Sus scrofa: one gene and its partners. The protein of the gene in region 1 interacts with the protein of each later gene in a biochemical or structural test. Links are inferred from orthologs where the notes say so. Each region holds a gene or a part of one and is shown in the gene's direction. Other genes may lie near its edges. The genes, in order: BMP7, ACVR1 and BMPR1B.

Region 1 (2,795 bases):
TGGCAATGCGGGATCCTTGACCCACTGAGCCAGGCCAGGGATTGAACCTGCGTCCTCACAGATGCGAGTCAGATTCGTTTCTGCTGCGCCATGACAGGAACTCGAGGGTCATATCTGAGTCCTTGCCTTCCCGAGAATCCGAGTGAAATAGAGAAGAAATGAGCTAACATCTGGGGTTTACTGTAAAATGATCCGAGGCCGGAGCATGTGGGGGAAGGTTTAGACTTGTAAGGTTTGAAATTGTCCCCAAAACCATCTGAGAAGGGTGCCGGCTGGCATGAGAGGTCGCCGACTGGGGCTGGAGTGCAGGCGGTCATCTGTGGCGTTTCCACTCGGTCCACACGCTGTGTTGGGAACCTGGAAGTTTCACATAAAAACAAAACAGGGCTGAACTGCCAGCCTGTCCTGAACCCTCGGCGCATCCGATGGCACTGCCTTGGGTGGCTGTGGGCAGCAGTGGCCGTCTCCTTTTAGTTTGCCCCACTCCTCACTCTCCCCTATTGTCTGACTCCTGACTGAGTGTGGTCATCAGTGGCACTCGTGTGGCCCCTGCCGGCATTTGAATTTGTTTCCCTCCAACCCTCACCCTCCGGAAGGTGCACAGAAGCCCTTGAGCAAGAAGGAGTAATAAACCTGGGCAACCGGCTGGCATCTTTCTCCATTCTTTTTTTTTTTTTTAATTTATTTTTATTTTTTGTCTTTTCTAGGGCCACACCCGTGGCATATGGAGGTTCCCAGGCTAGGGGGTCTAATCAGAGCTGTAGCCACCGGCCTAGGCCACAGCCACAGCAACGCAGGATACAAGCCACAGGAGCTGCGTCTGCAACCCACACCAAGCTCCCGGCAATGCCGGATCCTTAACCCACTGAGCAAGGCCAGGGATCAAACCCACAACCTCGTGGTTCCTAGTCAGATTCGTTAACCACTGAGCCACGATGGGAACTCCTCTTTCTTCATTCTTAGCTTCTGGACCTTCTCCTTCCTTGCTGATGTGCACCCAAGTGTTTGCCGAAATTCTCTTCCTCTTATTTTTATTCCTCAAGAAGCAGAATCGTCTCGTGTAGTCTAGACTTGCACCCTCCAGTGCTGTCCACTTTTAATGTGTGGTTCTTGAGCACTTGACATGTGGCCAGTCGGAACCAAGATGTTTTGCAGCTGGGTTTGGAAGACTTAGAACAAAAAAGAAAGATAAAATATCTCATTAGTGATATCTGAGGTTAAGTATATGTTGAAATGATAATATTTCTGAAATATGGGGCTCAATCGAATAGATTGTTTAAATTAATTGCACCTCTTTCTTTTCCATCTCTTAAAATGTGGCTCCTAAAACACATTAAATGGCCTGTGTGATGTGCTTGATGTTTTTCTTGGGCAGGACAGATCTGGCCCAGAGGTCAGCACCCTTTTTCTGAAAAGGGCCGGATAGTAAATATTTTCGACTTTGAGAGTCAACGGCCCCAGTTGAGCTGTCCGCCTCTGCTGTTGCGATGCCGAAGCAGGAGATGCTGTGGTGATGAATGGGTGTGGCTGTGTGCCCATAAAACTGTATTCGTAAAAACACGCGGCGGGGCAGGGCTCGGCCTGTAGGCCAACCCTGGTCCAGCCCCGTGCTTCTTGACTTGGGGCGATTTTGCCTCCTGGGGGATGTTTGACAGTGTCTGGAGGCAGTTTTAGTTGTCAGGGTTGGGAGCCGGGGTCCGAGTGCCTCTGACGTTGAGTGGGTGCAGCCCAGCGAGGGTGCCAGACCTCCCACAGTGCACAGGGCAGCCCCAAGACAGAGCGGGACCTGGCCACCCGCTTGCTAGCTGTCGGCTGCGTAAACCCCTGTGCGTGGGTTCTCCCACCTGTGTGTGATCCAAGGATAAAGCCTGGAGCCGAGCTGGTTATCCATCAGGTGCTTAGAACCGGGGGCGCCAGGTACGTGTTGTCTCCGTGGCTTTTGTCCCAGCAGACGCGCGGGGGCCAGGCCGAGGCGATGCCCGGTCGCAGCCCACCAACGTTTCGGTGTGTGTTCCAGGTCCACTTCATCAACCCTGAGACGGTGCCCAAGCCTTGCTGCGCCCCGACTCAGCTCAACGCCATTTCCGTCCTCTACTTCGACGACAGCTCCAACGTCATCCTGAAGAAGTACAGGAACATGGTGGTCCGGGCCTGCGGCTGCCACTAGCCCTGCCCGAGGCCCGGCCACCCAGGGCCACCGCCGTGGCGAGGAGCCCGCAGACCAAGGCGGCTGCCTTGCCAGACCGTCTGTCCCCCTCCCCAACCTGAACGGTGCAGGCGTGTGAGGGTATTTGGGAGGCGAGTGGCTTTTGATCAGTGGTTCGTCGGCGGCGTCCTACGGACGAGATCCTACAAGTTGCTGCAGGCGAAACCCAACCGCAGGACATGTAGCTAAAGGAAAGTCGCCCGGCCACGAGCCCTGGCTGCGAAATCGCGGCCGTGCACCGACTCGTCCCAGGGGTAATGAGGAGCGCCCGTCAGCCAGGCCGCCGGCAGTGGGAGGAAGAGGGTGCGGCTGGGGGTGGGCACGTTTGTGTCTGTGCGAGAGGAAGACTCATGCGGAGGCTCCTGTAATACATGTCACAATAAAACGAATGAATGAAAATGGTTAGGATGTTACAGATATATTTTCCTAAACAATTTATCCCTATTTCTTGGTTTATTCCGATTTCATAAACAGAAGCTGCGGCCGGCGGAGGGAGGGAGGCCCCCTCTCCACGCCATCCCGGTTGCATTCTGAGGCCTGCCGAGGCTCACTGTTTATGGAGACTCACCCAGAATCCAGGATTGGCCCG
Region 2 (3,655 bases), on another chromosome or scaffold:
TTTTAAATTTAACTCACGAGGCAAGTTGAAAGTCTGCGAATGTTTGCGTAAGTGACGTGAGAAATGAGTGAATGCACAAATGTTTGAATGGGTAATGTAACAATATCTGAGCCAGGGAGTGAATGAGTGATGAGCTAAGTGAGTGCCTCAGTGAATGAATGTTTTGAGTGAGTGAACGAATGTTGAATAAATGGGTTATTTATTTATCAGATGAATGAATAGGCAGGAATCATGCTCTAAAAGGAGGAATAAGAATTCAGCAATAGACTTCCAAGATACATTGAAGAGAGAGACCACAGAGAGGGTATTTTGGTCTTAACTCAGATAGCATCTTCTCATCAGAATATTACAGCATAATGTCTTATCTGTAAGGGCTTGATGATAAAACTCCTTACAGATCAAGTCCAAGTTAATAAGGAGTGTATCAGCGATTTGTATAGTACTTTAAATTTTAAAAATACTTTCCACATAGATGCATTAATAAGTTGGTTCTCAGTGGAATTTTTTCAAACTCCTGTTGTGTCTAAATGAATAATGGTTGAATGACTGGGCTGTTGGCCAGATGTTGGAAAGTTTATAGTTTTAGCACTCTGTGACTTACGAGACTATGTGATTTGGATCAAGAGCTACTTGTTAGGTATTGGTTATGCTACGTAATAAGTCAACAATGATCCTTATAGCCAATTACCCTCCTCTCTCCCATCTCCAGGGAAATCCTTTCCTGGAACACAGAATTTCCATTTGGAGGTTGGCCTCATTATTCTGTCTGTAGTGTTCGCAGTATGTCTTCTAGCCTGCCTACTGGGAGTCGCTCTCCGAAAATTTAAAAGGCGCAACCAAGAACGCCTCAATCCCAGAGATGTGGAGTACGGCACCATCGAAGGGCTCATCACCACCAATGTTGGAGACAGCACTTTAGCAGTGAGTGTGTGGCCCCAGGGGTGCCCAAGCATAACAGCGATGGCTAATTATGCTTTCTTATTTTAAGCATGAAATGCTAGCCAGTAATTGGTGACTGGACAGTTGTATACACATGCTACTGGTCACTTATGTCCTAAGCATATGCTGGCAACCCATGTTAGTTTAGGGACCCCACTGTGAGAACGTTTATTTTAGACATTTACATTAAATGAGGGAGTGGATTTTTTTAGTTGATTCTTGGTAGTTATTTCTCTTTTGCTAGTAAGGGAACAGGGGATAGACATGGTTGCCTATAATTTGGAGGTTGGGAGGCTTGCAGTTTATGGTACTCAGTTACTCTATTTTTAGCAATAACAGTGCTTTCAAAAAAAGCCCTTTTGCTTAATATTAAAAGTCATTTTTCCTTCTAGATTATTTCAGCACCTTGTAGTTTAAGACTTTAAAACCTGACATCCAAAAAAGCAGCTATTAAATTTTTCATGCTCCTGTGCTGCCCCCTTGTGGAGTGCAGACATTTGGTTAATCTGGTGCTGTCCAATAGAAATATGTGTGGCACATGTGTAATTTAAAAGTTTCTAGTAGCCATGTTTAAAAAAGTTAAAAACACAGGTAATATTAATTTTAAGACTGCGCTTAACCTAATATATATAATTATCATTTCAACATACGATTATCAGGAATTATTACTGAGATATTTTGCAACTTTTTTAAAAAAACTGAGTTTTCAAAATTTCCTGTGTATTTTACACGTATAGCACCTATCGGTTCAGATCAGCTGCATCTTACTGGCTCACTGTCAGCGTGTGGCTCACAGCGACCCTAAAGGGTCATGTGGCTCACAGCACAGGGTTACAAACCATTGTATCTCTATGTTTTAAAGTTACTCATTTGCACATTTTAAAATGATGAAATCACATTCAAGAGTGACTGGCTTCCTTTTTTCACTTTTTAAAATTGTTTGTCAAGTGTTAATTTTAAAGCAACTTTAAACTCTAGGTGAGAAAAGGGAATCACATGCTAGGAGTAAGTTACCATCAAGTGCCACTGGGAAAAGTAATAACATTCTACAGGGCTACTATGCTGAGTTGATGCCTCCTCTGAAAAAGGCAAAGATTTGTCAGGGTTACAGATGTTAAAGTCATGCCAGTACCAAATCGAGACTCTCCTGGTCATAATCTGATGAACTGAAAGATGGTCAAGGTGGTAACTTTTAATGCCATGACCTTGCATCTACCTAAGATCATCTTGTATTAAGTCTTGTTTTGCCAGACAAAAATGTGAGTGTCTGGGAGTTCCGTAGTTGCACCTGCCCTAAGACAGCCCTTTTGCTGGAGAAGACTTGTCCTCTCCAGTCTTTGCAGCTCAGGTACTGCTCCTGGACTACTAGGCGAGTTGTTAAAACATTTGACGGTGACTGATATAGGCTGGGAAATATCCCATCTTACTGCTTTCCCATCACTGGACTACAGTCAAGTATACTTTTTTTGTATGAAGAAAAGGTGGGGGGGACCTTGTTTAGCTTTCTTTTACCTATTTAAATTTTGCTATAACAAAACTGGGAAAAGAGGAGATGAGGACCTTTCATTCAAAAAGTAGAGAGATACAATTTGCATTGAAAAGGTTCTTAGAAGTTTTATTTCAAATTTTAAGGCAAATTAAATGAGTACATTGAATGAGTAGCAAGGAAGACATAAGGCTGTATCACGAGAAAGCATGATTCTGAGATAGAGTAGTTAAGAGTTTTCTGCCTCAGAACTGCTAACGTAGCTAATTATGTTGGGCACTGATAGGAATGTCTATTGTCAATTACTGTTTAAATGGTTTCTCTGTTTTTGAAAGCAGAATGGAATATATGCTAAAATAATCCTCTCAACTCAACCATGTTCGATGTCACAATAAATGACACAGTAAAGAACACTGTTTAAAACAAGTTATTAATATTTGTCGACATACTTGCCTATTTAAGTGATAGGCTCATTTTTATGACTCAGCAGTGCATACCTTACTAACCAGCTCCCCTACACTGAAAAAGAAGATCTAAGAGTTGAAGTTGATGTTTGTCTTAGGTTGACAATCCCCCCAAAGTCTATGAACTAGGTTTAGAACCAGGATTATACATTATGAAAAAACAACAGATTAGTTTAATTTTCAGAACTATTCTCTTAAAAAATTGAATGAATAAGGAGAAAAATGAACAGCAAAAGAGATGGTTAAGGAGATGTGAAACTCCACTTCATCTAGATTCAATTTCTTGCTGATTATCCATTTTGCGGCTTTTAAGGATTCTAAATTTCTTCCTTTGGATGTTCAGATTTTGGTAATTTTGCTGATCAACAGTACTTCACAGTGGTGCTCAGAGTAAAAGAAGATGAAATTCAAACAGTAATGTATTACTTTAACAGGCCAGCTAAAATGTTTAGGAAAGGACAGGCTGTGGGGAATTTTAGCTCAACATTACTGCAACCTTGCCACAGTCACCATGGGCACGATACTGTTTATATAGATAATCCATTCCTGATTCAAAAAGGCTTCTGCTTCTTGGCTTGCACTGAGAGTAAGGAGGGAAAATTTATGAATGAACTAATTGCAAATCTTTTTTTGCATTTTGAGAAGTAGATTTGGAGCATGGGTTTTCTGTTTTAATGGAAGATAACTTTTTTTCTCTCTCTGCTTTGTGGGTAATTGGCATATTACATAGAGATGTTAATTTTGTGACTCTTTTGTCCCTCGCCTA
Region 3 (3,655 bases), on another chromosome or scaffold:
GTTGTACGTATGGCAGCAAGAGCTCCTTCAGAGTATCTGGAATCTCACCACAGTGGTGGAATGAAAAGGGTTCTCCAAGTGCTTTTTCTCAAGAGAGGATTCGTATTTGTGTTTTTCTGGGCGCCATGGTGATGGTGTGCTACCAAGCTAAGGCAGATGTTGTACCATTCAGTGGTTCCAGCTTAATGCGAAAGCTCCAGGTTCAGTTTGTCTACTTTTAAAGGGATCAAAGTTCATGTTCTAGATCTCAGTTTATGCTGGTATTATTCGTGGCTCAGACAGCAACCTGGCTTTTGTATATATCCTGCATGCTTATCTACCCCTGCTCTAGTCTCATTTTTTCCTTCCTCTTTTACGCCTTCTTTCCACCCCTTCCTGCTTGGAAATTTCCTTTATTTCTATGTGTCCAACAGTGCTTTACGCTTTTGTTGTATCTTATCCAAGCATATAATGGCATGATTCCCTCAGGAGTATCTAGAACCCACTATGGCGGTACAAGTGAAAAGTATTCTAACCTGCCCATTACCATGAACCCAGTCAGATTTTTTGTCTCTATACAAATAGTAATAGGTAGAATGAAACACTTAATAACTCAGAAGCAGTATCAAACACTCAAAATCTGCAGTCATCCGCAAGTAGATTTAAAAGCGGATAGAAGAAATTAATAAATAAGGGCAGATAACTTATCCATATAAAGAAAAGCTACAGGCTAACTATATTTTACATGTAATCATTGTTTCTTCTCTGGAGGGGAAAAAAAAAGATTCAACAAATCTGTCGTGCTGTGAATACACTAACAGTGTGTTTTGGGATTTAACAGGTCCAGAGGACTATAGCTAAGCAGATTCAGATGGTGAAACAGATTGGAAAAGGTCGCTATGGGGAAGTTTGGATGGGAAGGTGGCGTGGCGAAAAGGTAGCTGTGAAAGTGTTCTTCACCACGGAGGAAGCCAGCTGGTTCCGAGAGACAGAAATATATCAGACAGTGTTGATGAGGCATGAAAACATTTTGGGTGAGTAAGAGGCTGTATTGCAATGTTCAGGGTTTCCTAGCTTTCCTCGCTTTTTTTTTTTTTTTTTCTGTTAACATCTGCATCTTAACTCATCAGTCTAGACCCCTGATGAAATATACAGACGTTTTTCTTCTTGGCATGAGCCCAAGAACGTCATACGCTTCTTATGGGAGCCCTCACAGGAGGAATGACTAAGGCACGTCTGCGAATGAATGTGGGCTGGGAGTGGAAGGTGCTCAAAGCAGTTTTTTTTCTTTTTTTTTTTCCCTTCAGGGACAGGAAATGCAAATGGAACACCAGAATTTCTTATGGTTTCTTAGGGATTTGAAGGTGCACGTTTTTGTTAAAATTTTGTTGTGAAAAGTTAGGGGAATTTTACCTGCAGGGTTTATTTATATCCCGAGTTTACATTGAAAATTGATTTCCTTTTCATTGTCTCCAGTTAGAGGTGATCTGGCTGAATCATCCAAGCAGAAAGACTGCAAGCTCATCACGGGAGGATGTGCTTGTTTTATAAACAGTGTCTTGTGTGTAACTATAATACCATGAACTATTTAGTGTTCACTTAGAGATACTTAAATACCGATTACCGATTAGGAAAAAGGATCCTGTTTTCAGATACAGCCTCTCAGTGTTTCTCTACCCCTCCTGTTTTGACGGTCTCTGATTGGTATGAGGCATTTCGATAGTGTCAAAGGCACAATCAGAAACCTGAATGAAACGTCATACAAAAGACACCTATGGCGAAGAATGGCAGTTGCAAATATGAATTATCCTTCTAGTACTCAGCAAACAAGGAGCTCCGAACCTTACTGGCTTTTTCCCTCGTAGGCTTCATTGCTGCAGACATCAAAGGGACGGGCTCCTGGACCCAGCTGTACCTCATCACAGATTATCATGAAAACGGCTCCCTCTATGATTACCTGAAGTCCACCACCCTGGATACTAAATCCATGCTGAAGTTAGCTTACTCTTCTGTCAGTGGCCTATGTCACTTACACACCGAAATCTTCAGTACTCAAGGCAAACCGGCAATTGCCCATCGAGATCTGAAAAGTAAGAACATCCTGGTGAAGAAAAATGGAACTTGCTGTATAGCTGACCTGGGTCTGGCTGTCAAATTTATTAGGTTAGTATCAAGGTGAACACATACACTTTTTATGGTTCTTTTCTATCATTTTTTATAGATGATGCATTTTATAGCTCAGGGCTTCTAGGATATTCAGCAGAGGAGGAATTTTTTTTATTCATTTCGACTTTTCTTTGCAGGGAAAAAGAAGGAACGTTTTCTTTGCAACCAATAAAGTGTTTGGTCGGGTCGGTCCCACAGTCTCTAAACTCATCAGTGACCTGGCTTCAAGACAGTAGCTTCTTTTACCTTGTAGGTGATTTCATTAGAAGAAATGGTTTTTCTCCTTTGAAAACAAAAGCAAATGAGTTTGCAAATCACAGGTACAGAAGGATCATCATATACTTACTTTAAAATCTCCACTTAGGCTGAGCCTTTATTAAATGGTCGGACCCTCTGACGGATTTGTTTCTAAAGAAGGCCCTGCAAGATACAGAGAGGGGCGCAAAGAAAAAGCCGTGGCAAGGAAGGAAACTTGGGAGAAAGGACTTAATGGATTGGCATTTTCACCCAAAAGTGAAGACAGAGGGCTGATATCATAATAGGCCTCCAATATATGGAGGTTTTCACCATTTAGACGACGGCAAATTGAAATGCTCAGTCTTTAAAAACAAAGCTGGAGGGAATGCTTGGGACTAGAGATATAAGTTAGAAATGTGAACCCCCCTGCCAATGCAGGCTACTAAATCCTCTTTCTCTTCTGAATTCTTTTTTCTGACTTACAACCTTTTTCTGGTCGCCTCTACCCAAAAAATTTCCCGTGATGCTGCTCAGATTACCAGCCTCTGTCCTTTCCTCTGCTGTTAAATTTCCCAAGAGTTCCAAAGAGTGATCTGCTTCCTTGGTCCCGTAATTCATAGTATTCTGTAATGGGAGCTTCTGTTCCCCTCTCCCCTGAAGCTGCTTTACTGAGGGCACCCTGCACTTTGTCATCAGAAGCCCATCTTACTGTCACCCTGCTCTCTGCAGTTCCCACACCTCTTCCTCCTGGGTTCCTGATGTACCTTTATTCCAGGTTCTCCTTTCTCTCTATGGGTTCTGCTCTCTGTTCCTTACATATTTGCCCACCTCTAGATTTTGTGCTCTCTCTGCGTTTTCTTCCTGGTTCCCAGTTTGGGTTGATCCATATTCTAAAATGTGAGCACCTGGCGTTTCCTCTGTTGCCCGAGTTTCCAACTTGCTCAGTTGAATGTGTTCTGTCTCCATGTTGCTCGCTTGGAACTGGGCCTGGTGAGTCGTCTTTACCATTTTTCTAGATTCTGGAGAAAAGCACTTTGTAGTTCTTTCCTCTTTGACTTTTTCTGTTTCTTTTTTTTTTTTCTTTCCCTACATGATACTGCCAGATGTTTTCTCTTGAAGCATCTTTTTGGCATCATCATATCATAGTACCCTCTGGCTTTGGGTTAAAATGTAGTTCCTGTTCTGAACACCTTCCACTTGGTCACACCTTCACGTGTTTTTAGCATGCTTTTATCTACCTGACCACCCAACCCCCCTGCCTCTCTCTTGATAA

Evidence for each region.
Region 2: the proteins of BMP7 (region 1) and ACVR1 form a complex in vitro, tested with the Homo sapiens proteins (2 studies listed by BioGRID). The link is inferred for Sus scrofa from reciprocal best matches to the Homo sapiens genes BMP7 and ACVR1.
Region 3: the proteins of BMP7 (region 1) and BMPR1B form a complex in vitro, tested with the Homo sapiens proteins (2 studies listed by BioGRID). The link is inferred for Sus scrofa from reciprocal best matches to the Homo sapiens genes BMP7 and BMPR1B.

The regions. Positions count from the first base shown.
Region 1 is NC_010459.5:57,586,194-57,588,988, reverse strand, and holds the end of BMP7 (bone morphogenetic protein 7 precursor), read left to right. Parts: intron 1-2,017; coding exon 2,018-2,167; downstream 2,168-2,795. UniProt on the Homo sapiens protein: Growth factor of the TGF-beta superfamily that plays important role in various biological processes, including embryogenesis, hematopoiesis, neurogenesis and skeletal morphogenesis.
Region 2 is NC_010457.5:64,789,556-64,793,210, reverse strand, and holds part of ACVR1 (activin receptor type-1), read left to right. Parts: intron 1-709; coding exon 710-921; intron 922-3,655. UniProt on the Homo sapiens protein: Bone morphogenetic protein (BMP) type I receptor that is involved in a wide variety of biological processes, including bone, heart, cartilage, nervous, and reproductive system development and regulation.
Region 3 is NC_010450.4:124,559,469-124,563,123, reverse strand, and holds part of BMPR1B (bone morphogenetic protein receptor type-1B), read left to right. Parts: intron 1-820; coding exon 821-1,013; intron 1,014-1,844; coding exon 1,845-2,142; intron 2,143-2,282; coding exon of another isoform or gene 2,283-2,496; exon of another isoform or gene 2,497-3,655. UniProt on the Homo sapiens protein: On ligand binding, forms a receptor complex consisting of two type II and two type I transmembrane serine/threonine kinases.